7 linked regions of the Cricetulus griseus genome follow. The protein of the gene in region 6 purifies or fractionates together with the protein of the main gene of each other region. This does not show direct contact. Links are inferred from orthologs where the notes say so. Each region holds a gene or a part of one and is shown on either strand. Other genes may lie near its edges. The genes, in order: Hspa12a, Clns1a, Pnn, Rnps1, 14-3-3 protein epsilon, Epb41l3 and Gsk3b.

Region 1 (3,839 bases), on a different chromosome or scaffold from region 6:
CCAGGAGGCGTGTGACCCACTGTCACAGGGGTGCATCACCCCTCTTCTATCTGTGACGCTTTGCAAAGTGTTGGGGTCTTTGCAACCCTGTCCCCCAGCTGCTTACACACTAACCTCATCATTACCCACGGTCACCTTGCCTCTCCCATGGCACTTTTCAGTTCTGATCTGAACAAGCCCCAGGGGCCAGAGTGCCCTGCATTTCCCAGGAGTCCTTTGATAATTCAGAGACATTTGAGAGCTCAATGTCTGTCTGGTCACCTCGGGTATCAAATTCTGCAGAGGATTGTGGAAGGAATGTCCCCCCTACCCCCACCCCGAACAAGCTAAGCTCATTGCTCAGTTCCTCCCCTGGGTGTGTCACCCACACTGCAAGGTGTGGTGGTCCTCTGAGCAGGCCTGCCCAGGAAATCCCAGGTCCCAGCCTCTGTCTCTCTGTCTTCCAGGCAGGCCTGGCCTCCCCTGAGAATTCAGAACAGCTCATCATTGCCTTGGAGCCCGAGGCCGCCTCCATCTACTGCCGGAAGCTGCGGCTGCACCAGATGATTGAGCTGAGCAGCAAGACGGTGGCCAATGGGTACAGCACCAGTGACTCAGTAGGAGCGGGGTTTACACAGGGTACCTCTGCTCTCTCTCTCCCTCCCTCCGCTTCCCCACCCCAATCCCCTGGGTGTGACTGAGCTTGAATGATGCTCCAGGCACCTCAGGCTGTAAGGGTCAGGATACTCCATGGGGAAGACGGGGGTCTTAAGCCCCTCCTCGTTCTGTGTTCCTACCTGGCCCCTAAGAGCACTCCCCCATAAGATAAGCGTCAGTTACCCTGGCTTGTCACTTCTTGGGGTGGGGGTATCTCCACCCCAAGGGTGACCTGAGAGCCATTCTTAGCCTTGCACTTTACTTTACAAGGACCGAGGCTTGTCTTGTCTTTCTCCAAGTCAGTCTAACCCACTTTGCCTGCCATGAACTCCTCCATCAAGACTGTTGACTTGTTGCTGTCTTACTCACTGGGCTGCTCTGGGTGTGTGGGAGGGATGGGCCCTGTAACAGGTAGAGACTGAGGGATGCTGGGAGAACCTGGAGGCCTGGTCCTTTTTGATGGTTAAATAGGCACGTCGGCCATTTGTCCTGGTTTTGAGACCTAACAGGATCTGCATTTTCCACAGTCCCCACACCAGAACCCCAAGTCTGCCCTGGCCAAGACCCCAGGCCCAGGCTAACCCTGGGAAGATGCGCTTCCCATCCCTGTGTACTGCAGTTTTCCTCAGGTCACTCCTCAGTTGTGAGTCCTCACGAGGACAACTCTGTCCCAGGAGACACCCTTTTCCTTTTAATCCCTTGCATTAGTTTCAAGTGGCTCCCAGGGGGTGGCAAGAGCTAAGCTTGTCCCCCAAGCTGCTGTCTCTGCTTGCCAGGGACTATGTGTCAGCACCTTAGATCCTCTTTACCACAATGGATGCAGAGACTTGCCTTTAGGCCCAAGGGCTATATTAGTCCTTATCCTCACTAATGGCCATCCTGGCCTTGCCAAGGGATGCCAAGGCCAGCCTTGCCTCTAAGGAACCTGGTGCTTTATCATCTCAAAGACACAAAGGCATGCCTCTCTCCATTGTCTCACTGGGTGGAAGATGAAGCTTGTGGTCTTACAAGCTAATTCTCAGTTCGTAAACAGAGATTCATATCAGGGTCTATTGATTTCAGCACAGCTTTTAGTATGGACTGGCCCTCGGTTTCCAGGAGGTGCCTGCTGACTTCAAATGAGATCCTTCCTCAGAGTTCGGATTCAGGTTTCCCAGCCTTTAATCTGCTCTGTCTCCCCATGGCTGCTCTGTCCTAACTGTTCTGTGGCTTGTGGATTCTGTGGCTATCTGTGTGCGCTCACAGTGGGGAGCCTTTCCTTTTGGTTTTTGGAGCCTCATTGGCGACCAACATGCCTTGGAGGGACAGCAAAGCAGGGGTGTAGGTGTCAGCCTTGCATTGTAGTTGGGCTGTCTCTCCCAGGGGTGGGGTGCCGTAGGGACCCCAGGGGACATCTGACGCCCCGTGGGTCCCTCGTGATCAGAGGCAGTGGACTGAGGCTACTCTAGAGGGAGGGAGCTGGCAGACACTCAGCCTCCAGCACTCCTGGTTTGCAGGGAACACTCTGTTACTCCTGATGGGTTTTAATGGGATCCATAAAACATACATTTGTCCAATCTTGGGCTTAATCTGCCTGAAAAACTGGGATGGTTCTTGGCGAACTGGGAAGTTGTTTTGTCGCCTTCACTCAGATATCTCTTATGAATTCCATCTGTGGCCATCTAAATCGTTTCAGCAAATCCGATCCCTGCTACACGGTGTTACTGTTTTGTTTAAAAAGAAGAAAAGAGAAATTGCTGAGACGTGAGACTTAAGACTATAAGTTTATTATAAGGCCCGGCAGAATGGGGAGACTAAGAAGAGGAACAGGGGTAAATGGCTGACCGCCATGGCCTGTCGCCATAGAGAGACAGAGCGAGAGCATAGGTGGGGGACAGAGTAGCACAGAGAGCGGGACAGAGAACGGGAACGGAGAGCACAGAGAAACAGAGAGCGTAAATGGGCAGGGGCCTATCTTTTAAAGGGGTCCTCTGCACCTGCGTGCAGACTTATTTCCCTGGAACCTTGGGCTGACCAGGGTACTGCCTGTTTCACCAGGTAACAGGGGCAGGCCAGCATAATGCCTGAACCTTTCACACGGTCCGAGAGGCAGCTTGTTTCTTGTTTGGCCCCTGCAGTGCCTGGGATTCCTCTCGGACCAGCGTGGGAATTGGAGAGAAGCCCAAGTTTGGGGAGACCTCCTGGGGTGCCCCTTTGACCACTCTAACCCCAGGCTCTAGAGAACTCAGAGTCAGCTGGGGCGTTTGCTGGTCTAATCTCTAGAGAAGTTGGTTTTGCGAAGGTCAAGGGTGCTGCTAGATGAGCATCCAGGAGGGGCTGAGTGGCATTTCAGAAGGAGTTGGGTAGCTTAGGGGTTTAAAGACTAGAAAGGTCGGGGAGTGAGGGAGGTAGGAGGCAGCAGAGCCTTTCTCTGTCACCCCACGGCTGCTCTAGTAAATCATTGGTTGCAGTTGCCATCCAGGGACCACCAGGTCTCATAGTGGGTGTCCTGTTTGTTTCACCCACCGTGTGCAGGCTGTCACTCCAGGTACACAGTGGACAAGCAGGCTGCATTAGGGAAGCAGTCCTTCTCTGTCCACGAGAAACCCAGACCAACTAGTGACACACCCATTTTATAAAGGAGGAAACCGAGGCCTAAAGGGCCCACTTGGCTGAGGCCTGCTGCTTCCAAGGTACCTTTTCGCAATACCTTTCTTGGCCCATTGCTCTGCTTTTCCAGGCCTAGGAATCATTAGATCTCAAAAGTCGAGGGGGTCTCTGGTCTGACGGTTCATATTGCCCAGACAAGAGACCTGGAGCTTCCGAGTGCCGTGACCTCACCCTTCGCAGCTGAGCAAAGGACGGTTATGAGTGCCCTGTCTGTCCCAAGGCGTTGCAGCGCTCAGCACACAGGCGGAGGCGTACCCTGGGTACCCTGCTGTTGGATGCAGCGCTGGGATCCCCTAGGCTCAGATGCTGCCTCGTGGGTGAAGCGCCCCCCTGTGGCTGAAGTGCACATTGTCTCCAACAGCTGCAGGGTCGGGCTCTAAATTCTTTTATGGGAGATTCTGATGGACCCAGCATTCCAAAGTTGCACGATGTGGAACGGCTTAACCTGGTGCACCGTGGGCTGCTGGGAAATGGGCCCATTTCATTAACCCACTCCCCCAGAAGAAAGTCACCACGGCCAAGACTCTCCTCGGGGCAGGCTTTACAGCTGGGCC
Region 2 (4,420 bases), on a different chromosome or scaffold from region 6:
GTAAAAATAAATCTTAAGAAAACATCTCCACACTAAAGACTCCTCTGTTGAAAAGATACCAAGAAGAAAAAACAGGGGAAAAAAAAAAGAAAAACAAAACTCTTAAGACAATCTATATGTTTTGTCATCCAACCTAAACAGCCCTAAACCCATAGCTATTACAACTTTTTTAAAATGGTTTTTCAAGACAGGGTTTCTCTGTGTAACAGTGCTGGCAGTCCTAGAACTCATTTTGTAGACAAGGCTGGCCTAAAACTCAATGAGATCCACCAGCCTCTGCCTCCCAAATGCTGGGGTTAAAGGCATGCACCATCACCGCTCACCCGGCTGCTGTGACAATTTTATAGTTAAAAAAAAAAAAAAAATGAAGCCTAGAGATTGGCTGACTGAATTCCATCCTCTGGGTCTCTCATTTCTAAACTCTAGCTTGTGAGTTTAATGCCTCAGCTCTCATGTGTAAAACGGAGTCAGTTAATAGAAAACTTGTTCTTATTATTTATCATAAAGAAAAAAATATGAATTAAGCAGATGTGGTGATGCTTGCCTGTAACAGTACTTGTAGCCAGAGTAGGGTGCATGTGGATAAAAACAACAAACAACAAGAATCCATGAAGAAATGAGAGTGGTAAAGTGCTTACGCTGTGTGGCACATAGCCGTCGGCTACGGGTGTCTATTTACTAAGTCTTCACTGCTCTTTCTTTGGGGCCTAGAAGTTCCCGATCAATGGCTGCCTTTCCCCTCGGCGCTGTCTTTGGACTGTCTCGCCGCCCTTTCGTTCAGGTAATGTAACCTCTTTGCGCTGCTGTGGCGTGGCACGTGGGGATGGGGCGCTATGAGGCCTAAGACGGAGGTCTGGTGAATGGCTGTGTGAACCGGTGAGATCAGGCCCGATGAGGCGGGAGCAGGAAGAACCGCGCATCCAACCGGGGGACTTCTGACCTCCAGATGAGTGTGGACTCTATTTCCCGTGCGTCCTCCTAGGCCCGTTCCGGGTTTTGTTTTGGAAGGCACAGTATTCCTTAAACATACTCTCTCAGGGATTGCTGTGACGACCTACAAATAGAACCACAGCGAAAAACACTGTTATTCTAAGCCTCCTCAGAGGGGCGGGGCGGGGCGGGCGGGGTGGGGCGGGGCTGGCGGGGCGGGCGGGGCCGCGAGTGGGGGTGGGTGGAAAGACCCATATCACGTGACAAAAGCCAGCCGGGTCCTCACGGACCTCCGGCGTCTAGACCGTCCCATCTCTATGGTCAACGGCTCGCCGAACCCAGCGGGGAGGAAGTTGTTCTTCCGGGATAGCGCTACTGCTTCCGGGCCTGCTCATGTGGCCTGGGGTTGTGGTGCTCCGCGTCTAGGATCGTGCGGAGGGAGCTAAGAATTCACCCGCAATGAGCTTCCTCAAAAGCTTCCCGCCGCCTACGTCGGAAGACGGGCTCCGGCTGCAGCAGCCAGACACCGAGGCTGTGCTGAACGGGAAGGGTCTCGGCTCCGGGACCCTTTACATTGCGGAGAGGTAGGGTCCCCGGGCTCCGGCGCTGGCCTCCTTCGGGGGCTCCTTCCTCCCTTAGGCACGACCTCGGGGCTGCTGCGGGGAGCGGGGAGCGACGCTACGAGTATGGTGGTTGAGAGGGCTCCCCTCTCCCGATCCCACCTGGCTCTGTTCTCTAGACGGTGTTTCTCCTTAACGACTTGTGCTTTTTACCGGCCTGTCTTCTGGAGCCTGGCGCGTGGTCACGTTTAGAGTTTTGAGTCTGCAGAGCCTATGTTAGTTCTCGATGTGCCTGGCTTTCTTAATAATCGTGTGAGCTACCTGTTTTTACCTGCGTAAGATATGTGAGTTCAGTGTAGATTGTGAAGGGTTTGGGACCTTTGGTTAATGAGCATGGATTTTTCTGCTCAAGGTGTGGGTGGGGAAAAAGAGCATCTTCAGGCCCACGCAGGGCGGGGTCATAACCAGCCGGCCCTGACTCCGGTCCTGGAAGGAATCTTACTGTTGTTTGACTACAGCGCTTTGTACTTTCACAATAAGGTAGACACGTCACTGGAACACACACTCTCTCTCTCTCTCTCTCTCTCTCTCTCTCTCTCTCTCTCTCTCTCTCCTCTCTCTCTCTCTCTCCTCTCTCTCTCCTCCCCCCTTCCTGTCCTTCAGAGTGTCTGATTTACCTTCTGCTATATTTCATTTGTCCTCCACGGAGTACATCCTCTGCTTTTAAAAGCTCGTGTTATAATATTGGGCCTGACTAGAAAATCCAGGCTAGTCCCCTTATTTCACCATCAGCTGATTGTCACCACAGGGGCCGAGAGAGAGAGAGAGAGAGAGAGAGAGAGAGAGAGAGAGAGAGAGAGAGACAGAGAGAGAAGGTATTAGAATGACTTACAGGGTATGGTCCAGCTAATCCAACAATGGCTGCCAATGAATGGAAATTTCAAGAATCCAGAAGTTGCTCAGTCCAAGAGGCTGGGTCTCTCAGCAGATCTTCAGTGGATGCTGGAATCCCATTTCAAGATCAGTATTAAAGTCTTTCTGCCTCAAGATCCAGATTAGAAGTGGATTTTCCAATGGGTGCTGGTGCTGCATGCCTTTAATCCCGGCACTAGGGAGGCAAAGGCAGATCTCTGTGAGTTCAAGGGCAGCCTGGTCTTCGGAGAGAGTGCCAGGACAGCCTCCAAAGCTGCACAGAGAAACCCTATCTCGAAAAACAAACAAAAAAGTTACTTTTGAGCTTAGAAACAATGCCTCTTTGCATGTCATTCCAAAATTAATTTTAAACCAATTAAGGTCAGGGTCTCTTACTTTTCTGTACTGTTTTCAACTCTTCACCAGAATTAAAAGATACTGCTTGTCCTTATTCATAAGTGTCAGAGTTTAACAAAACATTTTTCAACTGGTGTTTACTACTCTTTTAGTTCTTGTATTTGCATTTATGACATTTTGTTTTGTTTTTTATGACTGGTCATAGTTAATTGTATATCTTGGTTTTGGAGTACTTCTAGAATCTGTGACAAGAGACAAAGCAGGGTTAGAACTTAAGTCAAATAAGTATTGCTTGCAAGTGCCACATCCATTCTTCATGAGCCTCTCAGAGGAGCACTGTGCAGAGACAAAATGCTGTCATTCTTAGGGGCTAGATAATGATTTCAGCCTCTAAACCAAAGGCCATAATTTGCTAGACACTGATTTGATTTAGATGCTAACTTTTCCACTGCCCGGTGGAGTTAATAAAGGTTTTGTGGCTCTGAATATTTGAAATTATTTTGGATGGGTAAATCTGAATGTTCCATTCTAAATTGTGGTCATGTCAAGAGATTTTGGAGGTGAGAAAGGAAACATAGTTTGCTAGGTCTATTCTCAGTACCCATGAGCACTGTTTCATTCCCACATTAGAGAAGAGCTGTGTGTGGGAAGGGAGGATATGTGCAGCACACAGTCAGTTACATAAGAAATCTGTTCCGTTACAAGCAGTAGGGACGAAATAATTCCTCAAACTATTTTTTCCCCCTGAGATAGGGTTTCTTTGTGTAACAGCCCTAGCTGTCCTGGAACTCACTTGCTCTGTAGACCAGGCTGGCCTCGAACTCACAGAGATCTGCCTGCTTCTGCCTTCCTAGTGCTGGGATTAAAGGTATTTGTCACTCACTACCTAGTTATTTTGAGACCTGGATTCTGTGTAGCCTAGACTGGCCTGGCATTCATTATGTGGCTCAGGTTAGCCTTGAACTTAACAGCAGTTGTCCTATAGCAGTCTCCAGAGCGCTTGTATTATACCTGTGATCCATGGTCAGCTTGTCAGAACTGTATGGAAAGTAGGGTGAGGCTGAGTATGGGGGCACAGGCTTGTAATTCCAGCACTTGCCATGTGGAGTCAGGAAGAGCAAGAGGAGAGTCTAGAGTTTGTGATTATGGCTGGGCAGGGTGGAGCAGGTCTTTAATCCCAGCACTGGAGGCAAAGGCAGGCAGATCTCAGTGAGTTCTGAGAGTCAAGCCTATTTAGAGACCTTGTCTCCAAGAGGGGAAAAGGATCATGGCCAACCTGGGCAACAAGCTAACATGAGCTAAATGTCAAAGCTGGAGGAATGGGGAGGGAGGGAGGAAGAGAATAAGGAGGAAGAAATTGGAGAGGGTACAGGATATGCATATGTTCTGCAGAGGTATGTCCCTATTCCTTTAATTTCTGTTTTAAGTTTTAATTAGTATACAGTAGTTGTATAAAAAATGACTTTTATTAGGATATTCCCTTTTAAAGTAGCATTATTGACATGGTTTCCATGCCATACAACTTATTCATTTCATTCATAGAAGTTAATGGTTTTTATTATGCACTTTTATCTTCACTCAGTCTTAGAACATTTTGTTGTAGCCCCCCAAACAAACAAACAAACAAAAAACCCAATGCTCATTTTAGTAGTTGTTCCCTG
Region 3 (3,563 bases), on a different chromosome or scaffold from region 6:
CTTGAAGTCTTGATGTTCCTACTTCTACCTTAGAGGCCCTGGGATTTATCTGTTTACTTATGTGTTTACTCATTTATTTGTTTGGTAGGTTACCTGCCCACCTTTGAATTTTTGAGATGGGAGTCTCACTGTATAGCTCTGTTTGGTTAAACCTAACTATGTAAACCAGTCCAGTCTTGGCTTCAACAAGATCTGTCTGCTTCTATGTCCTGAGTGCTTGTGTTAAAGATGTGAGCCACCATTCCTGGCTTTTTAATAGGCTTTTGCCTTTATTTTATATGTATGGATTTTGCCTTTATATATGTGTGTGTACAGTGCCTGTGGAGGCAAGAAGAGGGTGTTGGGTTCTAGGGCTGGAGTCATAGAGTTGTGAGCTGTCCTGTGGGTGTTTGGAATCAAACACAGGTCCTCTTGGAAGAACATCTGGAGATTGTTTTTTGTTTTGTTTTGTTTTTTAAGTTCTGAGTCATTTTGACCAAAGAAAGTGTTGTTTTAGAGATAGTGTCTTAATGTAGTTCAGGCTGGTCTATACTCTTAAGATTTTTTGTTATGTTTATTTTATTGTGTATGTGGGTACAAGTATTCTATGTTGTCTTGTGAAGATGATAGGAAAACTTTGATGTGGACCCAGAGGATTGAAGTCCAGTTGTCAGCAAGTACCTTTATCAGATAGTCCATCTCACCTGGCCATGACCTCTTAATCCACCTGTATCAGTGCTGTGCTGGAATTATGGGCCTGTAACATTTTACCCAGCCTTAAAGCTTTTTAAAGATTCCTATTAAGAGCCTGTCTCAGAAATTCTTGTCCTAGAAGAGTGGTTCAGTTGTCAGAGTCCTTGCCTAGGACAGTTAAGGTTTAGGCTCAATTCCCAGTACAACCCTGGCCCTCTCACCACCACCCCTAAAGGGGGGGGGACTTCTTTAAAGACAGTAATACAAAGTAAAATCTAAGGAAACACTTTGAACCTTCAGAAATTGTTGAATTTTCAATTGGCCTTTTTCTATCCTTTTTAAATGTTCTTTGTATTGTTATAAAGAACCTGAATCTATAAATATTGAGGACTACATGGGTTCTAAGCTATAACGGTCTTGTTGTGATACCCACTTATTGTGATACACTTGGGTATCAAGTTTTCTTGGGGGGGGTTAATTACATTTATGTGGTAGGGCCATGTATATTGAGTGAAATCACATAACAATTTTTGGAGTTGATTATATTTCCCTCTGAGATGTGGGTTTTAGGGATTGAACTCAAGTTGTCAAGCTTTGAGGGCATTCACCTTTATCTGTTGAGCCATCTTAGTGGCTCTAGGTCTCAGATTCTTCTTCAAACAAGGAGTTTTGGGTTTTGCAACTAATCCAAGTATTTGGTTCTGTTTTGTCTTTTTGGACTGGGGTCTCATGTAATCCAGGCTGGCTTTGAACTACCTATAGAGCTGAGAATGACCTTGAGCAATTGGCTTCCTGCCTCCCACACCTACATTCTGGAATTACAGTCCTTAAGTCACCAGGACCAGCTCAAGGGTTGTAATTGAGTCTTACTATACACTCAAAGGCAGTTCTTGCCAATGGGGTTAATTGTGTATGTATATATATATCCCCAGCATGTGCTCTGGGAATGGAACTCAATTGCGCAGGTCTGGCACCAAGTGAGCCATATTGCAAATCTGGGTTAAGTTATATTAAAGAAACATTTATGATGCAATGGAATGGTTAATCTGTGACTAGTGACTTTTTATGGGAAAAGGCCTTAATCACTATTGCCTGACATTGTCATTTGCAATCAGTCCTAAGGATTAAATTATAATTACTTATATCTTGGGGCTGGAGAGATGCCTTAAGGTTAAGAACAGTGACTGCTCTTCCAGAGGACCTGAGTTCATTTCCCAGCAACCATATAGTGGCTCAAAACCATCTATAATGACATCTGGTGCCCTCTTCTGGTGTTTGGCATATATGCAGACAGAACACGGTATACATAATAAATAAATCTTTAAGAAAAAAAGAATAGCTCAATTTATTTAAAAAAATTACTAATATCTGAAAATGTAATGCAGATAAAAGTGCAAGTAAATTAATGTAGTAAAATTGTAAGTTTCAGGTAGTCAAGATATGTAGTATTTTTATTGTATTTGAAATAAAACTAAAACCTTGATTATTTTATGTACTAAATCAAGATTACTTATTTTTAGCAAAAGAGACGTCAAGAAATTGAACAAAAACTTGAAGTTCAGGCTGAAGAGGAGAGAAAGCAGGTTGAAAATGAGAGGAGAGAACTGTTTGAGGAGAGACGTGCTAAGCAGACAGAACTGCGACTTCTGGAACAGAAAGTTGAGCTTGCACAGCTGGTGAGCAATGTTTTTTAAGTACTAAATTAGATGGTCCTTCATGTTTACAAAGCACTGACCTTTTTACCTTTTCTTTAGCAAGAAGAATGGAATGAGCATAATGCCAAGATAATTAAGTATATAAGAACTAAGACAAAGCCCCATTTGTTCTATATTCCTGGAAGAATGTGTCCAGCTACCCAAAAGCTAATAGAAGAGTCACAGAGAAAAATGAATGGTAAGTCATGATGCCCATTTAGTAGAAATGATTTAATAGTTCAGTTTGGGGGGCTGGAGAGATGGCTCAGAGGTTAAGAACACTCACTGACTGCTCTTCCAGGGCTCCTAAGTTCAAATCCCAGCAACCACATGGTAGTTCACAACCATCTGTAGTGAGGTCTGGTGCCCTCTCTGGCCTACAGGCATACATGCAGACAGAACACTGCATACATAATAAATAAATAATTAAATCTTAAAAAAAAAAAGAATAGTTCAGTTTGGGGTTTTTATGGTATACTGAAATGGGTGGTGGGGTTAGGGTTTAGGAGTATTTTCTGCATATTGAGTTTAATCTCAGCCAGGTGGTGGTTCGTGCATGCCTTTAATCCAGTACTTGGGAGGCAGAGGCAGGAGGATCTCTGCAAATTCGAGGCCAGCCTGGTCTACAGAGCAAGTTCTAAGATGCACAAGAATGCTAAGGAAATAAGGCAGAATAAACATGAATTTATATCGGGTATTTACATGGAAGGTTAGACACCACTAGGTGGGTAATTGGCACTTTGTTGTGCCTGAGACCAGGAAAGGTAAAATGGTAGTTCTGCTTCAAGGAGATTTTGATTGTCTTCTAGCAAGAAGTTCAATAGCAAAGATGTCCAGGTTTGCAGGAGTATAATTCCTTGATCTATAGGTGTCCTGTCAGTGTGATTTTAATGTCAGTTTGTAATACATTTACCGTAACCGGTATTTTGTCATCTTTTTTGGAAAACATTTAGGGACTGGTAGTTTAGTTCATCTGTAGAGTGCTTGTCTAGCTTGAATAAGACCCCTGAGTTAAGTTCCCAACACTGTCTAAAAAAAAACCCCCTAGGCATATGAAAAGATGATTAGATGGTGGTGACAGTTTGTGACCTGGTTTAAAATTGTTATTTTTAATTTTCTTAACTACTGTAATTTTTATTGTTTAGCTTTATTTGAAGGTAGACGCATCGAATTTGCAGAACAAATAAATAAAATGGA
Region 4 (4,316 bases), on a different chromosome or scaffold from region 6:
CTTGAGTTTGCGGGCTCCAGAAGCCTCTCTAATTACAGACTCCACTAAATCTTCAGAGAACTGCACATGCTGCCTGCTTGACCATCACCACTCCATCTCAGAGCCTCAAGAGCCCTTTTTAGACAGGAACAGGTTGAAGCTCCTGGGACACTGCTCTTCTAAGACCGTTAATCTTGGTTGTCACCCTGACTGAATTTAGAATTAACCAAGAGGCACACCTCCCGGCGCACCTGTGAAGAATTTTTGTGATTGTTAAGTCAGAGTGACTAGATCTGCTAACCCACTCCCAAGAATGAACTGGTGGCTCAAGGGAGCAGACTCCAGAGGCAGGCTCCTTTTCCTGCCCTGTGCCCAGCTCCTTGAATTTATCTCCTCCCTCCATCTCTCCATGGGTCACCAAGGGGCACACTGGCCTCCTATTTTTCACAGCGATATGTAATCCAAACCAAGTCACCTTTGTTTCTTCCTCCTAAACCTTAGATCAATTCCTCTCTCTTCCTTGCTGTCTCAAACCTGTTTAGATAACCGCAGGGACTGTGTACATATCCATTCCTTCCTCAAAGAACCACAGAGGAAGGAATACGCCAAGCGAAGTTGGGAGGCGGGGCACTGCAGCACCACGGGTACTGTGTAGCCTAGGCCCTGGACCTCTATGTCCTGACAATGACCTTCACCCAGACTGGCGTTCCTTTTCTTCTCCCAGCGAACCTGGACGCCTTCCTTTGCACCTGTTGTTCCCTCCGCCCCGCGCATCCTTTTCAGAAATGTCACCTCGGAGACGCCTCCCCTACTGCATGTCTTCGGCATTTCCTCAAACTCCTTTCTTTCTGGCCTACCCGCGTCTACGCAGTTTTGGCGGCAGGAACCCACCGTCGGTACCAGCCTGTCCCTTTAGAATAAATAGCACGGCTTTGCTTGGACTCTCCGCCGCCTGGGCTGTAAGGCGCACCACTCCCTGCAGGGCGCGTAACCATACCGTAGGCCTAGCACTCAATAAGAGAGTCAATAATAATAGTAAGAGTCGGTAAGAGCCGGGCAGTGGTGGCGCACGCCTTTAGTCCCAGCACTCGGGAGGCAAGGCAGGCGGATCTCTGTGAGTTCAAAGCCAGCCTGGTCTCCAGAGGGAGAGCCAGGATAGGCTCCAAAGCTACACAGAGAAACCCTGTCTCAAAAAAAAAAAAAAAAAAAAAAAAAAAAAAAGTCAGTAACAGAGACAACCAGAGTATATCCTTCCGCACACACGCAGCCCTCCAGTCCCCGTCAGCCAATCATCCGCGCGCTCCGAGGCTGCGCAAAACGAGTCCCGGCAGGACGCTCTTCCTATAAACAGTCGCGGCCTTCAAGTCTCCACCGCTCGGGTGCATTGGCTGAGGAGCTTTACGTCATCGTTGCGCGACGACGCAGTGTCTTCCCGCTTCTCAACTCTGACGACGACAGAGTTGCGCCGGCCTCCGGGTCTGAGAAGAGCGGGAGGAGGTGGCGGCCTCGGGAAGATGTAAGTTGGGAAGGAATCCGGCCGCATCCGAACTTCGGGGACCTTCTGCCGGGCTCGGTGGGGAGCATCGTGGAGCCGGTTGCGTTTCGCAGCCCCGCAGTGTGGTAGAGGTCTGCCGGCGACGCGCAGAACCCGAAGAGAAAGAGTGGTTCAGGTCGGGCGGAGTGGGAGGTGTCGAGGCCGCGGCCCGGAAGTGGTCGAGGCGCTCGCAGACGGAAGGGCGATCCCGCATCGTTAGCTTGGCGGCGCCCAGCGTAGCTTGCGGGACTCCCGGCTGCTGCGAGCGCCGCCTCTTCTCTTGTTTTTTTTGTCTAGCTGGAGACCTAGGCTCGCCACGCCAGGCCCTACCTGAGTTGTGAGTGGAGAAAGGGTGGGAGGCGAGGTCGATATATGTGGCCGGAGCAGACGGTGCCGATTGTGAACCGGCCTAAAAGGTTGGCTTTCTTTTAGATCTCTTTTCACGAGTGTCTATCGAACTCCTGCGTGTAGTTCTTAGCTCTGGGCCTTGAGGATCCGGCTCAGGGTGGGCTGAGCACGGTTCCCGAGCTCAAAGGGAGACTATTGGAAGGTTATGGTTTGGTGGTAGGCTTTCTTTCTCTACTTTGTGTTATTTCGTAGGCACGGCGTCTCAAATGTGCTTCTATATGTAGAGAGTGACTTGAAGGTTGACGAAACGGCCTCTGCTCTAGATTTAACTAATTGTTTTCTCCTCTCTGGCTGTTGGACGCACACTTCCGGAGGATGGGGAGGTGACCAAGGTCCTGAGCTGTTACCTGAACTTGTGTGAGCAGAGACCCTCACCTTTGCTTCTAGCACTCGACCACACCCAGCAGAGTGTTCGCTTACTCTATAGTTAATAATTTGTGGACTGCTTAAGAATAACGGGTTCTGGTTGTTTCATAAAGTATATTCCTACAGGTTGGGGTGGGGTACACAAGCGAAATCGCTATTCTTTGCCACTGATAGCTATGAAGCACTTGGGTAGCAACCCAAACTGAAATGTTAAGTAATTTAGTACGGAAAAACCACAAATACTTAGTATTTTAATATTGGTTATATGTTATAAAAGTAACACTATCTTATTAAAAACTAAGTTTGGGACCCATGATCCCACCACTCTCAAGAAAGAAAGAAAAAAATCATTAATTTTGTACTGTTAGTCTATGTCAGTAGTAGAGTCCTTGTTAAATGAGGGGGGGTTGTTTTCTTTGCTCTTTTCTTTTTTTTTTTTTTTTTTCCTTTTCTTTTTTTTTTTTTTAAACAATAGTTTCTCTTTGTAGCCCTGGCTGTCCTGGAACTAGCCAGCTCTGTAGACAAGGCTGGCCTCAAACTCAGAGATCGCCTGCCTCGGCCTCCCAGGTGTTGGGATTAAAGGCGTGCAACACCATTGCCGGACCAGGCTCTTGAGTTTTATTCTCCAGCACTACAAGAACAAAACTTTTTTTTTTTCCCACCGGTTTTGATGTGGCTGCAAGGAAATTTGAGGTTGTGTTCATGGCTCACACTCTTACTGGACAGTGTTGTTCTATGTGACCTAAAGGTGAGCTGTTAGAGGCTTTATTAAGCATTCAGAAATCATGTGTAATGAGGAAAGAATGGGTGTGGACCTAGTTAATGCTGAGCTAGCTGGGTGCCATATCAGATTCACAGACTGATTTAGCTAAGGCCTTTGAGTAGTAATTGTCAGGAAAGGTGAGGCTGTAGGAGTAGTTCAGTTAGTAGTATGCTTTTGCCTACCTTCGTGAAGCCCTGGTTTCAGTCTCCAGCCCCATATATAAAACCTATAATCCCAGTGGAGGCAAGAGAAGCAACAGTCAAACTTTACTGCATAGAACATTTGAAGCCAGCTTGGGCTGGCGACCTTATCTTTAATAAAATAAGCCTTTTAATCCTTGTACTCGGGCAAGGGGTTAACTTGATCTACCTAGAGAGTTCCAGAACAGTTAGAGCTACATAATAAAGAGAATCTGTCTCAAAAAAAAAACAATAAGAATAACAATGAGTGCCAGCCAGATTTAGTGGCTCACACCTTTAATCCCAGAACTCCGGAAGCAGAAGCAAGAGTATCTCTGAGATCAAGGCAAGCCTGGACAATAGAGTGAGTTCCCAGACTGCCAGAGCTATGCAATAGAGAGGGTCTGTCTCCGTAAATAAAATTATTAGAATGAGCCGGGCGGTGGTGGCGCACGCCTTTAATCGGGAGTCAGAGGCAGGCGGATCTCTGTGAGTTTGAGACCAGCCTGGTCTACTAGAGCTAGTTCCAGGACAGCCTCCAAAGCCACAGGGAAACCCTGTCTGGAAAAAAACAACAAAAAAAATTAATAATAATAATTAGAATGAGTGCCATGACCAAGATGAAGATAGTGAAGCATGAAATCAAACACAGGCATGCTTGCTTACTCCAGACCATGAATTGCTCATGTTCCCTGGTAGGTGTGTATGGTATGTTTTAGGGCAAACAGATTGAAAAGATGTTATGGCCCTGGAAAGGAGCTATATAGGTGACCATTTGCTGTCTTCCATTTATTTGTTCAAAGCCAAGAACTCCTTCTTCTCTTTGGGGCTAGAATATTTATTCAGCAGCATCTAAAAATGCCCTGTCTCTGAAATCAAACTCTGATGGTGTATTCTTTCTCTCGTGGTTACAGTTGAGGAAGGTGAGAGAGTTAAGTTACATCCTGAGACCTTTGCTTATAATTTTCTCCCTGAGAAGAGGGCACAAGAAACAGTTTGTATTTCAGTTATTATTACTGCTATTTATTGTTATTGCCTGTAAGTTCTCACCCCATTCCAAGTTTCAAGGTGCAGAAAGAATTATTTT
Region 5 (3,839 bases), on a different chromosome or scaffold from region 6:
CGCAGAGAACAGCCTCGTGGCTTACAAAGCTGCTAGTGACATTGCGATGACAGAACTTCCTCCAACGCACCCCATTCGTTTAGGTCTTGCTCTCAACTTTTCCGTATTCTACTATGAAATTCTTAATTCCCCTGACCGTGCCTGCAGGTAAGTTATGGAAGAACCAAGTTCCTAGTGTGGAGTGCAGAGGTTCTAGAGGAGCTACCTTCTGTTTTCTTGTAGGTTGTCACAGGGTTCTGTTGACTTAATTTGTATGTATTAGTCTTCATTTAGTCTTTGAGTTACTTATGACAGGGTTTTGGTAGCAGGTATCTTGCCTAGCTTATCTTTGAATGTTCAGTTCTCATGTCTCATTCTCCCAATTGTTAGGTATCATAGACATTTACCACCCCACTTCTCTGGGAATGCATTTAATACTCTTGGTGAACTTTTTTGTTGTGGTTGTATTTTGAGACAGTTTTCCTATGTAGCCTTGGTTGTCCTAGAACTTGATCTGTAGACCAGGCTGTCCTGGAACCTAAAGAGATTAACCTGCCTCTGCCTCTCAAGTGCTGGGATAAAAGGCGAGTGCCACCACCTCCTGACAAGAACTTTTTTTTTTTTTTTTTTTTTTTTAATTTTCTGCTGGGCATTGATGGTGCACGCCTCTAATCCCAACACTCAGGAGGCAGAGGAAGGTGGATCTCTGTGAGTACGAGGCCAGCCTGGTCTACAGAACGAGTTCCAGGACAACTTCCAAAGCTATACAGAGACACCCTGACTCGAAAAACAAAACAAAAAAACAAACAAAAATTCTGTTTAATACGAACAACTATATTATCAGTCTCAGTGGTGTTTATGAAACTGTTGCCACACGAAAATTTCTGCACTTTTTTTGGGGGTGTGTGTGTATGTGGGTCCATAGCATGGCAGATGAAAGTCTGAACAACTTACAATTAGGGACATCACATAGTTGTGAGCAAATTTCGGGTGCTGGAAATTGAACTTGGATCCCATGGAAGGGCAGTAAATGTACTTAACTGTTGAGATTTGTTTAAATGCAAATTAAGGATTGTTGTACTGGTAAACATGTATACTACAAAGAATTCATTGTAACCATTTTCATGTGTGTACTTGAGAGGAGTTTAATATGCTCACAATTTTTTATGACCTTTAGTACTAGCCATTTCATCACTTTCACCACTTGACCCAAACTAAGCTTTAGTAACTCCACTCCCCAGTCTCTTCTAACCTGAATTTGTTTGTTCTTGGCATCTTATATAAGTAGAATTGTATCTGTCCCTTTCTGTCTACTCTATTAATTTCTTGGTAACAGTATCTGTAGATCTTCTATCCTGGGGCAGTGACTTATGCCTGTAATCCCAGTCTTCAAGAGACTGAGGCAGGAGGATGGGTGCAGTTGAAGCCAGCCTAGGTTACAGTGTGAAACCCTGTCTCAATCTTCCTCTTCCAAAAGCTGGGTGTGAAGGTCCATCCCTGTGATTCCAGTGCTCTGAAGGTGGAGGCAGGACAACTAGGCATTCAAAGTCAGCTAGGGCTATAGGAGACACTGAATAAAACAAAACAATTTTTTTTCCTCTTCTTTTCCTTTAGGAGAGGGTAGTTGGGTTCTGAATTGTATCCATTGTAGGTATGTGCCACAATTGTGTCTTATCCAAAGACACTTGAACCTTTTTGGATTTTCTAGGCAGGGTTTCTCTGTGTAGCTTTGGCTGTCCTTAGAACTCAATCAGTACAGACAAAGCTGGCCTAGAACTCAAAGAGATCCTACTACCTCTGCCTTCCGAACGCTGGGATTAAAGGCTTGTGCCACCACTGCCTGGCAGGAAAATATCTTTGTCACAAATGTATTTTGGTGGAGGTTGGACTATATAGATTATTTTCAGTCTAGCCTATTTGTAATAGTTCATGTAATTAAAAATTAGTGCCTTGGGGCTAGAGAAATGGCTCAGTGTTAAAGAATATGTTCTTTTAGGGTACCTGAGTTTATTTCCAGCACCTGCATGAAGCAGCTCACAGATGCCTATGACTCCAGCTCCAGGGGATCTGTTGCTTCCAGCCTCATCTCTGACACCTGTTCTCTTGTACATATAAATACAAATACATATTATCAAAAATAGTAAATCTTGGCTGGGTGGTGGTGGTGCACACCTTTAATCCCAGCGTGAGGAGGCAGAGACAAGTGGATTTCTTGTGAGTTCGAGGCCAGCCTGATTTGTAGAGTGAGTTCCAGGACAGCCAGGGCAACACAGAGAAACCCTCTCTGGAAAAACTAACCTTTTTTTTTTTTTCTTAGCTGAGTGAGGTGGTCCATGCTTGTAATCATACCACCTAAAAGACTGAGGCAATTTATGTAGTTGCTTTGAGATAGTCTCACTGTGTCACTCCAGATGGCATGGAACTAGATCTTGTCTCCATGTACTGTTTGTTAGCTCTCTTTGCTAGGCTTGAAATTTCAAGGGTTTGTATAGGAAGATGTTTAAAATGCAACACGAGCATCTCTAGTGATGCCCAACTAGGTAGGGATGCTTGTTATCAAGCCTGATTAGCCTGAGTTCAGTCCTTGGGATCTATGTGATGGAGGGAGAGGCAGCTGTGACAGGTTGTCATCTGACCTTCAGGTGCATCCATACAAAATTCTACAAATACATCTTTAAAAAGTTTTTTTTTTTAATTAAAAGCAGGCTGAACAAAAATACAGTCTTACATGTTTTTATTCAAAGTTATCTTTCAGCATTTGTCTCTGTTACCTTTATAGCACTGGAGAACCGAGAAATAGCCCATTGTTCCTATCTTTATTGTTAATTGAATGCTGACGATGCATTTATTTCAGGTTGGCAAAAGCAGCTTTTGATGACGCAATTGCAGAACTGGACACGCTGAGTGAAGAAAGCTATAAGGACTCTACACTTATCATGCAGCTGCTACGTGATAACCTGACGCTCTGGACCTCAGACATGCAGGGTGATGGTGAGCAAGCTCAGATGTTTCTCTTTGGTGGTTGCCTCTTCTAAGAACTCTTGGTGTTTCTTAATCTTTGTGTAATTTTCAGTCATAGCCTGTCTGCAGTAGTTGAAGTTCATTCCTTCTGTAGGGAATGATGCCCAATTGTCATTTTGGCCCTTGATAGAAAGTAAAAGGCCTATTTGACAATTTCATTCCTGTGTAGAAATATAATGCAAATATTTAAAACTGTAAAAGTTTTGCCTTTAATAATGGGGTTTTTTTAGTACTCGTACTGCTTTAGTCGTTGTAGGGACAAAATGACAGGAAACCATTTCTTTTTTACTTTATTTTTTTTTTAAACTTACATTGTTTTGTCTTATGTGTTTTGACTATTTTTCCTACGTGTGTCTGTGTACTGCATGAATGTCCTCAGAGGCCAGAAGAAGGCAATGATGAATCTCCTAGAATAGGAGTTAACAGATGGTTTGTAAGCAGCCTCCATGTGGGTGCTGGGAATTGATCTTGGGTGCTTTAGAAGAGTAGGCAGTGCTCTTAACTACTGAGATCTCTCTCTATCCCCCATCATTCCTTTTACCTTTCCGAAATTCAACTGGGGGGGGTAGCAAAGGTTGTTTATGAAACTATCTGGTGTTAGTAGGCATTAATGAAATATCTCTTGTGTGTGGGGTCTCCAAACCTCAGACCTGTGTGTGCCAGGTACCTATTTCACCTCTTACTGTACCCTGGTCCCTGTGTAGAAATCTTTTTCTCTAAAAAGCGACTATTTTCCTCTAGGGTTCTACGAGAAATAAAATGATCTTCCTTAGGTCCATGCTTAAGAGTTCTGGTATTGTCTGGTCTTAGATTTTTATTTGCAAAATTACTGTTTTGGG
Region 6 (4,501 bases):
TTAAGGTCTTACACTAGCCCTTGGCTCTGAATATTTTTTAATCAGGTAATTAGAACTGTGAAAGGGAATGGTAAAAGATGTATTATCTGTGGGATATTTACCATCCCTATGCAAAGCACTTAAAAGTCAAGTCTGCTTGGCATAGCATCTCTCCTACTACACACAGAAAGAATGGGTTTTATTAAAGACACGGAGCATTTCTGCGAGCGAGAGGCAAAAGTGACTGAGGAATTATTATTTGGGTTTGAACATGTTCAGCCTTCTCATATGGCCCCCGTGGAAACTGAGGCACAAAATGCTGGTCTGCTTTAGCACTCTGTTAGAAGGTGGTAGTTTTGGGTGGTATTTTTAGGGTGGGGCAGCCTATTACTCAGGAAGGTCTTTGCTTGAATTTCTTGTGAGATGTGAGACTGAGGTATCCTTCAGTGTTCACAGGCAGGAGGGAGCCAGGAAAGATGTGGGAGGGAGGGGAGATACAAGCTGCCCTTCAATCACAGGACAGATGCTGACGGTGTGACGCTTGCTGCATTTGTATATTTCAGTTCAAAAGGAAATAGCAGAACTGGGTGAAAACCAGTAAGAAAGACATTTGCTATTGCTAGAAAAATCCGTAGATTTGGGGGTGGGAGAGTCCTTGGTGCAGAGTTGAGAAGCCTGTGGGATATCTAATCTTGAAAGTCATCCTTCACAGGTCTTAGAATATACATACTCAGCAAACACATACTCCTCATCCGCTACCCTAATTAGCAATGATTTTAAAATTTCACTTGTGGCCACCATCTATTATGAAGAAACCCTGTTGATTATGACAGATTAATCTCTAGTGTGTGTTTGTCCCACTTAGGGTTTTAATTGCTATGAAACACCATGACCAAAAGCAGGTTGGGGGTGAAAGGGTTTCTTTGGCTTACATTTCCACATCACTGTTCATCACTGAAGGAAGTCAGGACAGGAACTCAAACAAGGCAGGAACCTGGAGGCAGGAGCTGGTGCACAGGGCATGGAGGGGAGCCACTTATTGGCTTGCTCCTCATGGCTTGCTCAGCCTGCTTTCTTACAGAACCCAGGACCAGCAGCCCAGGGATGGCCCCACCCACAATGGGCCATACCCTCCTCCATCAGTCACTAATTCAGAATATACCAATTCAGAATATACCCTTCAGACTTGCCTGTAGCCTAGTGTTATGAAGACATTGTCTTAAGTGAGGTTCCTACTCTCAGATGACCTCACTGTGTTACACGTCTGCTTTGAGCCACTGTGAGCACTGTGAGCACCATTCTCTACACAGCGCCTCTCTGGTGTGCAGTGTAGGACTGTGCTTGGCCGGGGCGCCCCTCTCCCTCCTCCTCCCTTTCATACTAGATCTCCTGGAAGATAATCACAGCTACTGACAGGTCCTTGCCTCTCTTTCTGCTTGCAGAACAATCAACCATGACGACCGAATCAGGATCAGACTCAGAATCCAAGCCAGACCAGGAGGCTGAGCCCCAGGAGGCAGCAGGGCCTCAGGGACAGCCAGGGGCACAGCCTGGACCAGAGCCTGCCAGCGGAAGCAGTGAGGACCCGCCAGCGCTAGAGCAGTTCCCTGCAGCTGCTGCACATAGCACCCCGGTGAAGAGGGAGGTGAGCCTGGAACATCGCTGGGGAGGGTCAGTCAGGGGACCTGGCTGAGCTGTGCTGCTTCCTCCCAGCCCTAAGTGCAACTCTGAAGGTCACCTGCTTTTGCCCTCTCACCCAAAGGGTCAGTGGTGTCACTGTTGAAGGCTTTCAGTCAGGGGCACCCCACAGCCTTGACTGGTACCTCCTGCCTTTGATTAAAGCTGTTAACACTCAGCTGAACTACTGACAGACGATTCTGCCTAGATCTGAGTTTACCATAAGGGCAGACAACAGCTGGCAGCCCCACTATGCCTCTCGCTGTTTTTCCCAGCCATTATTCTGACCCAAGCATGGTCATATACTTTCAGCGACTCTTTATTTGTGGCGGAACTCCTCCCCTGGTATACATTTGTAGGGTCATTGCTGTTCCTTATGCATGTTCGGGGATGTGGGAAGCGATTACTTCTGCCCTTTGTGAGTTGGAACACAGCAGTGGAGCTACCTATTTAGCCTATGGAGGTTTGGTTCCATCCCCACTACTATCAAGAAAATAAAGATCAATAAGTATAAATATGTAGATAAAATCAAAAGAATAAAGTACGATGATGACCAGATGAGCCAGTATAGTCTGGAAACTTCAAACCCTGGTGCTTTAGACGGCTTTCTTGTGCATGATAAAGGGATCTGGAGCCAGAGGAGCGACTGACCTCGTGTTCCAAAGGGTTTGCATAGTCAGAAATTTTAGCACATGTTGAGTGAATGGTTATAAAGTTAGCCTTGGGCAGAAAACTCCATTACAGCACGTTACGACCCTGAACACTTGTTTATGAGGCGGGGTATGTTACTGTGGTCACATGACATTTGCAAGTTCCGGTTTTTAGGTAGCATGAATGGGGCTGGACAGATTCAGAGCACTGGCTGCTCTTGCAGAACACCTGGGTTCGGTTCCCAGAATGCAAGCCGTTGCTCACACCCTCTGGAACAGTTCCAGGGGATGGTAATCCTTTTCCTGACTTCTGCAGGCACCAGGCACCCATGTACTGCATATACATCCATGAAGGCAAAGCACTCATGCACATAAATAAGTGTGTATAATAAATAAATTTAAAGAATGAAGGAAACCATGCAGTCAAGAGACTTGGCAAACCTGCGGTGTGTACTGCAGCTGTCATAACAGCTTACTGTGTTCCGTAGTAAACATTTTTATAAGCGGGAACACCACACTGTAATATGGTTTAAAAAGTGTATTATAGTAAACCCACAAGCCAATAATATAACAATTTATTATGATCAGCTATGATGTGCTATATACATAAGTGTCTCGGCTGTACTTTTGTGTGTCTGATAATACAGACCATCACAGACACCTGAGCTGTGTAGTGTTTTGAATTTCACAATGGCAACTGTATCACGAAGCAGTTGAATTATGTGTTTACACAGATTTTTCTTTATTCTTGAGAATTTCATACATATGTGCAATGAATCATTCACTTCTGGCCCCTAACTTCCCTGCCCAACTTTCCCCGAAGCCCTTCTAACCAATCCAGCCTCATGTCTTAAGAGGCCACCGTCATATATGTGGTCTGTGTGGTGTTACATGGGCCATGACTGTACTTTGTCTTCCATAGTCAAATGTTTGACACCAACAATGGATATGATACTGAATCTGCAGAGGGAAATGTGCCTGGTTGCACAGGACAGACAACTGAGTAAATCCTGTCTCACGGCAACATTGGTCTGCTTTGGAAGACTCTTTCTGGCCTTTGGTCCTCACGTTCACCTTTACAAAATGTTAACAACAACGATTCTCTCTGAAGGTCTTCTATTTGGTCATAGGATGATGATTAAAATGTGGCTGGATTTTAATTTTATGACCTTTTGGGAAGTTTCCTAGCCCCCTGGTCCTGTGGCTCTTCATTTATAACTGAGGTTTGTAGTACCTACACGTCAGAGCAATGAGGAGGATTGCGTGGAGTGGAAGATTTGTGTAAATGGAGCTCTCAATTGGTCTATATAATAAAAAGCCGGAGTCAGAGATAGAGGGAAATGCTGAGAGATCAGAGAGAAGGAGCAAGTCACAGCACACCTCACCTCCTAAGTGTCTCAGCAGAGAAGAGAGCGAGTTCCTGTTTCTCCCTGTTATATCCTGTTTCTGCCCAGCTGCATCACTTCCTGTCTGTCTGTACAGACCTCCAGGCCTCCATGGTTAGCTAGTGGCAAGCTCCATTCTCTGACCCCCAGACAGGCTTTATTTGTGCAAGAAAGAGATCACCACATATTTGCTAAAATGATTGACAGCCATGCATCACATGACTCTAATTGGCAGTTCACCTGAGACACTTGGTCTGCTTTTCCACACGTGGCTTCTAAAAGCCACGGTGGTAGATACCGGTTTCATGTGTTCCAGAAAGATCTGTCCTTGAACGATGGTTGCCTAACGACATCATTTGCAGTTGATGTTTAACTAAGCCAGAAAGTTTGTTTTCATACAGATACTTTTAGTGGTGGGCAAACAGTCTCATCTCTTGCAGTATATAGAAAAACGGTGATTCACAGCAAAATTTAAGTTAAAAGTAGCTTCAGTTGACTTTTCCAGTAACGAGACAATTTAAATATGTTGGGATCATATATAAATTATAATGTATTAATTAAGATATATCATGGCTCATAATTTCAGGATTACTGTACTTCTCCCTAAACTATGTCAAGGCCAGATTAATGATGTTTTATAGATTTCTTGCATTGACCATTTTGATGCTTTAATACAGTCAAAATAGTAGGACTGAGTTGTCAAAATGAGTTTTCTTTAGTTTATTGACTTGTTGAAGTTTACTTTCTCAATTACCTTGGCTTTTCAAATTGGCCATTCCATCATTTTTTTTATTTAGTTATTTTAACCTA
Region 7 (4,568 bases), on a different chromosome or scaffold from region 6:
CACGCGCAGAGAGCCTAGGGAACACTCTGTCGGCCGCGCCCCGTCGAGCATCGGGGGATGGGGACGGCCCCTCGCCCCGCTAGAGCGCCCGAGTGCAGCCCGCCGACCGCAGCACTTTCAGACCAGCTGCACAGACAGCACGAGCGTCCTGTCGGAAAGCAGATGCGGGCCGGCCAGTCAACCCGTCCGCCCGCTCCAGGGACTACCCGAGGCCAATCCCACTGCAGCTAGGTCTTGCGATTGCACGGCAGTAAGCACCCATTGGCTACCTCCACGGGCTCCTGCACCCTCCTTCTCCCTTCGGAGCACCCCTCCTCCCCGCTGCGCTTCTGCTCGACGCTACAGACCAATGAGCTGCCACTTTATAGACGCCCTCCCTCCGCTTTCTTCTTCTCCCCACCTCGAAGAGGGAGGGGAAGTTCTGACTGGCCAGATGTCCTCGGAAGCCCCCGTCCCTTCACCAATCACTGAGAAAGGTACACGCCCAGTGGAGCTGTCCAGCCAATGAGGAAACGGGCACGGCGCCCGGCTGTGCAATTCCTCCCGCGACTCCGGAGTTTCGCTGTCCTTAACTCTTCAGGCTTTTCCCTGCGGGCGGGCAGCTCTGATTGGCCGCTGTTGCTATTGTCGAATCTCTTCTCCAGCCAGCCACAGAACAGGGCGATTCCACTCTCCTTCTGTTCGGCTACCTTCGGCATCCCTCGTTGCTGGGGCGTGGTCTCCCAGCGGTGTCTTCTCATTGGTTATTCAGGCCGCTCGGCTTTTTCCGTCAAGGAGCCGCAGGCAAACGACGTCTTTGATTGGTTCCGGTTTGGGTTTCGGCTTCCCAGCCGAAGCTGGCGGGCGCGGGCTCGGCGGGCGATTCCCAGACGCCTGTTACGCGGGCGGCGGGGCGCTGGGCGGTGTAAGGCTGGGTGGGGGAGGAAGGAGGCGGAGGACGAGTAGGAAGGGGGAGGGGGAGTGGGGAAGGGCTAGGCGGCTGCGCAGACGGCGCGCCTCGCACAGAGCAGCCCCCGACCCGGCCGAATGCGGGCTTGTGCCGCCGCCGCCGTCGCCGCCGCCTGGGCCGAGTGACAAAGGAAGGAAGGCAGTGAGGAGGAGCCGGCCCTGCAGCCGCTGACAGGGCTTCGGGCTCGGGGCACAGCGCGGACACTTCCTGAGCAGCCGCTGAGCACAAGCGAGGGGCGGAGGCCGGCCGTGCCGGGGCCGCGGACGGGGGAGGGGACCCCGAGGGACGGAAGCGGTTGCCGGGTTCCCATGTCCCCGGCGTATGGGGAGCAGTCAAGGAGCCGCTGCCTGGGGTCTGAAGGGAGCTGCCTCCTCCGCCGCCGCCGCCATGGCCGCTGGATCCAGCCACCGCCTGCAGCTGCTCCTGGCGCAATGAGGAGAGGAGCCGCCGCCGCCACCACCGCCCGCCGCTGACTCGCGACTTCGCTGCCCTCCGGTTCACCCGGCCGCCGCCGCCGTCAGACCGCCGGATCCCGCTGCTGCCGGAGCCGCAGCGTTAGCCGTCGCATCTCCGAGCCATCTCCTCCCTCCTTCCCATCCCCCTTCTCTTCAAGCGTGAGGCTCGTGATCCTTCCGCCGCTTCCCTTCTTCATTGACTCGGAAAAAAATCCCCGAGGAAAATATAATACTCAGAGTACTTATTTTCAATCAAGTATTTGCCCTCGTTCACGTGATATATATATATATATTTTTAAGGATTCCACTCCACCCTTTTTCTCCCCTCCCAGGAAAGGGAGGTGAAAGAATTGTATTTTTCCCCCAGCCCTAAATCATCTATGTGTTAAATATCCGTACTGATCTGTCTTGAAGGAGAAACACATCGCTCTCAATTTTTTTTTTAAATAGCTATACAAAAGGAGTGAAAAGCCAAGAGGACGGAGTCTTTTTTTTTCTTTTCTCTTTCTTGCGGGAGAACTTAATGCTGCATTTATCATTAACCTAGCACCCTAATATAAAACAAAAGGAAGAAAAGGATTAAGGAAGGAAAAGGTGATTCAGGAAGAGCCATCATGTCGGGGCGACCGAGAACCACCTCCTTTGCAGAGAGCTGCAAGCCAGTGCAGCAGCCTTCAGCTTTTGGTAGCATGAAAGTTAGCAGTGAGTATCGATTTTATTTTACACCCTTTCTCCACCTCACCATTAAGATAAGAAACCTCGAAATGCCAGGACCTTAAACTGAGAGACCTGATAGAACAATCAGAGGGTAATGGAAAAGGGCAAAACCTTTCTTGAGTCAAGACGAAGCATCTCCCTTTTCTCCTCCCTTATCCGTATCCCCTCCCCCAGCCTCATTAACCTTGAATTGAGAGAATATTAGTTTTATTTGGCTGGTTGGATTCGAAACTCGTTTTCTTACTCTCTTCTCGATGCTGGTAGTCAGTCTCTTCAAGTGCTCCAGTGCCTCCAGATTAAAAAAGCGACGGAAGCGTCTACTTGCCCATCCCTTTGAATAAAGAGGACAAAACTTGATTAATAAACCATGATGTATATTTGCCGAGTATGTGTCTTCTGGAACGAGGGAGGTTATTTTAGCTAGCTCAGGTTATCATGGTTCTGTATTCTAAATAGAGATATTAAGAGTCCCAGGCTCCTAATATTTCTTTTTTGCCCGTGTGACTATACAAAGTATTTCTTGATCTGGGAATGAACTTGCTTGGTAACCCACATTCACGTTGGAGGCAAGCTAGCATCCATCCCTCACTCTAGTAGGGGCTGGTAGAAGCCGATAAGTACCCCAGATAAATAATCCCAGCAGTTGCATCTCTAAGTGCATTGTCTTCAATTGGATAAGTGGTGTAATGTGTTATCTCTTAACCTTCCTGTTTTGACGTCGCCAATCTGCCACCGTATAATTTGTTTAATCAAAAGGTAACTTGGAAGTAGATTTAACTTTTGGTTGAGGTTGTAGTATCATTGGGCCAAATACTAAGTTAAGTGTTAATTGTCACTGACTCATTGTCATTTAAGTTTAATTTTGAGGTGCCATTGCTCTCATTACTTGGTAATTTTTAGAGTACAAGTGGATATCCTCTTAGGATTATTTAAAATGTATCAGTATCTGTCACTGTCTTTTGCCCAGGGATCTGTGCTGAAAAGTCCAGTTGTTGAAGTGATTGATATACTGAGTATCCAGTATTCAAATGTATCTATTTGTGGAGATGTTTATGTGGCATTTAATGACAGCTTGTTTGAACATACTTGAAGATTCTGGCATAATTACTTCTTTTCCTTATTCTATGAAGGAAGAGTGAGGACACAAAGATCCTTAGTTGCTGAGAGGAACTGAGATAACTGGAGAACCGAGATTTTTAGAAAGTCAAAATGTATGTGCTGCTCTGTGAAGTGGATTAAGCAATCGGAAACGATTCCTTTCGGTTGCACCCAAGACTTCATTCGTGTAGGCTTTTGGAGCTTGCCCGGAACAGGGTAGTCCAAAGTGATAGCTGAATGGGAGATATTTTTGCAAGTTAAAAACTTTTTCCCTTCAGTGACTAGCTAGTTTAGAACGCAGGGCATGTGAAGGGGAAGCTGATTTTGCATCTTTCAGGGAAGGGTCGTGCTTTCTAAGCACTTTATGGAGTCATTTGGAAGGAAGTTTTAAAAATGTTAGGGTAATTTTCAGTTGTGACGAAGCAGACCTCTTGATAGCTGCCTTTTGTGGTACTTCAGTATTTGTGTGGTTAGTTAAAAAAGCCGCACAGTTTGAGGCAATCCACTTACTGCGTTTATTTCAGAGATCTGTAATGCCAGAATCAAATACCAAAACTGGGGACTTTCATGTTGTTTCAGGATTTTCTTTGAAAACAACTTGTTAATTCTTGATAGAGGTTCTTTAGGATGGAATGAATCCAAGGAATGTAGTTTAAAGTGTTTTAATTTCTGTATTACCATATCAGTCAACATTAAAAAGACTTTAATGTTGATTTTAAAGAGTTTAATGCGGTGTGTGTGTGTGTGTGTGTGTGTGTGTGTGTGTGTGTGTGTGTGTGTGTTTAAATAACTGTGAAGTTAAGGACATGTAGATGAAGGAGGCAGACATTTGTTAGGGTGCTGGTGTTCTTTGGCACATAAGACATTATGGTCCTTGTCCCCAGACCCCTGGATGGTAAAGGCATACATTCAGAAAATAGTGAAGACCATAGCATGATAACTGCAAGACTCTAAAATGCAGATTGAATCAGTCGTTCAGAGGGACAAAGGGAAAGGGTAGTGAGAAGGAAGGGCCGGGGCAGGGAAATTTCTGCAGAGGCTGCGAGTTCTAAACAGGTGAACTGATGGGAAGCATGCCCTGTAGGTAGAAGGATCGCACAGCCACAGAGTATGCATGTTATATGGGAGGCAGAGAGCATGCTGGCATGTCTCAATTAGAGGGGCCTAAAGAGGCAAACAAGGGGGTGGACACTGAGACTTGGGGGAAAGTTAGTTAATAAAGAACAAAAGAGGCCTGTAAAAATTTGGGTGGGGATCCAAGGGTTATCTGCACTAACTGGCTTTCTGAACAAAGTATACTAAGGTGATTCGGAGAGACACAGAAGCCTTTTTGGGAGATGGTAGACTGT

Evidence for each region.
Region 1: the proteins of Epb41l3 (region 6) and Hspa12a purify together in Homo sapiens (affinity purification with mass spectrometry; 4 studies listed by BioGRID and IntAct, with this or other methods). This does not show direct contact. The link is inferred for Cricetulus griseus from reciprocal best matches to the Homo sapiens genes EPB41L3 and HSPA12A.
Region 2: the proteins of Epb41l3 (region 6) and Clns1a purify together in Homo sapiens (affinity purification with mass spectrometry; 3 studies listed by BioGRID and IntAct, with this or other methods). This does not show direct contact. The link is inferred for Cricetulus griseus from reciprocal best matches to the Homo sapiens genes EPB41L3 and CLNS1A.
Region 3: the proteins of Epb41l3 (region 6) and Pnn purify together in Homo sapiens (co-immunoprecipitation; 3 studies listed by BioGRID and IntAct, with this or other methods). This does not show direct contact. The link is inferred for Cricetulus griseus from reciprocal best matches to the Homo sapiens genes EPB41L3 and PNN.
Region 4: the proteins of Epb41l3 (region 6) and Rnps1 purify together in Homo sapiens (co-immunoprecipitation; 3 studies listed by BioGRID and IntAct, with this or other methods). This does not show direct contact. The link is inferred for Cricetulus griseus from reciprocal best matches to the Homo sapiens genes EPB41L3 and RNPS1.
Region 5: the proteins of Epb41l3 (region 6) and 14-3-3 protein epsilon purify together in Homo sapiens (affinity purification with mass spectrometry; 3 studies listed by BioGRID and IntAct, with this or other methods). This does not show direct contact. The link is inferred for Cricetulus griseus from reciprocal best matches to the Homo sapiens genes EPB41L3 and YWHAE.
Region 7: the proteins of Epb41l3 (region 6) and Gsk3b purify together in Homo sapiens (affinity purification with mass spectrometry; 4 studies listed by BioGRID and IntAct, with this or other methods). This does not show direct contact. The link is inferred for Cricetulus griseus from reciprocal best matches to the Homo sapiens genes EPB41L3 and GSK3B.

Annotation. Positions count from the first base shown.
Region 1 is NC_048596.1:2,559,742-2,563,580, forward strand, and holds part of Hspa12a (heat shock 70 kDa protein 12A), read left to right. Parts: intron 1-446; coding exon 447-618; intron 619-3,839. UniProt on the Homo sapiens protein: Adapter protein for SORL1, but not SORT1. Delays SORL1 internalization and affects SORL1 subcellular localization.
Region 2 is NC_048596.1:101,796,695-101,801,114, reverse strand, and holds the start of Clns1a (methylosome subunit pICln), read left to right. Parts: upstream 1-1,299; 5' UTR 1,300-1,389; coding exon 1,390-1,514; intron 1,515-4,420. UniProt on the Homo sapiens protein: Involved in both the assembly of spliceosomal snRNPs and the methylation of Sm proteins.
Region 3 is NC_048598.1:143,473,654-143,477,216, reverse strand, and holds part of Pnn (pinin), read left to right. Parts: intron 1-2,192; coding exon 2,193-2,348; intron 2,349-2,426; coding exon 2,427-2,565; intron 2,566-3,511; coding exon 3,512-3,563. UniProt on the Homo sapiens protein: Transcriptional activator binding to the E-box 1 core sequence of the E-cadherin promoter gene; the core-binding sequence is 5'CAGGTG-3'. Capable of reversing CTBP1-mediated transcription repression.
Region 4 is NC_048600.1:43,954,036-43,958,351, forward strand, and holds the start of Rnps1 (RNA-binding protein with serine-rich domain 1), read left to right. Parts: upstream 1-1,342; 5' UTR 1,343-1,493; coding exon of another isoform or gene 1,494-1,495; intron 1,496-1,804; exon of another isoform or gene 1,805-1,885; coding exon of another isoform or gene 1,886-1,929; intron 1,930-2,833; exon of another isoform or gene 2,834-3,035; intron 3,036-4,316. UniProt on the Homo sapiens protein: Part of pre- and post-splicing multiprotein mRNP complexes. Auxiliary component of the splicing-dependent multiprotein exon junction complex (EJC) deposited at splice junction on mRNAs.
Region 5 is NC_048600.1:89,212,696-89,216,534, forward strand, and holds part of 14-3-3 protein epsilon, read left to right. Parts: coding exon 1-147; intron 148-2,833; coding exon 2,834-2,970; intron 2,971-3,839. UniProt on the Homo sapiens protein: Adapter protein implicated in the regulation of a large spectrum of both general and specialized signaling pathways. Binds to a large number of partners, usually by recognition of a phosphoserine or phosphothreonine motif.
Region 6 is NC_048595.1:457,934,429-457,938,929, forward strand, and holds the start of Epb41l3 (band 4.1-like protein 3), read left to right. Parts: upstream 1-1,432; coding exon 1,433-1,624; intron 1,625-4,501. UniProt on the Homo sapiens protein: Tumor suppressor that inhibits cell proliferation and promotes apoptosis. Modulates the activity of protein arginine N-methyltransferases, including PRMT3 and PRMT5.
Region 7 is NC_048597.1:52,008,049-52,012,616, reverse strand, and holds the start of Gsk3b (glycogen synthase kinase-3 beta), read left to right. Parts: upstream 1-1,496; 5' UTR 1,497-2,018; coding exon 2,019-2,106; intron 2,107-4,568. UniProt on the Homo sapiens protein: Constitutively active protein kinase that acts as a negative regulator in the hormonal control of glucose homeostasis, Wnt signaling and regulation of transcription factors and microtubules, by phosphorylating and inactivating glycogen synthase (GYS1 or GYS2), EIF2B, CTNNB1/beta-catenin, APC, AXIN1, DPYSL2/CRMP2, JUN, NFATC1/NFATC, MAPT/TAU and MACF1.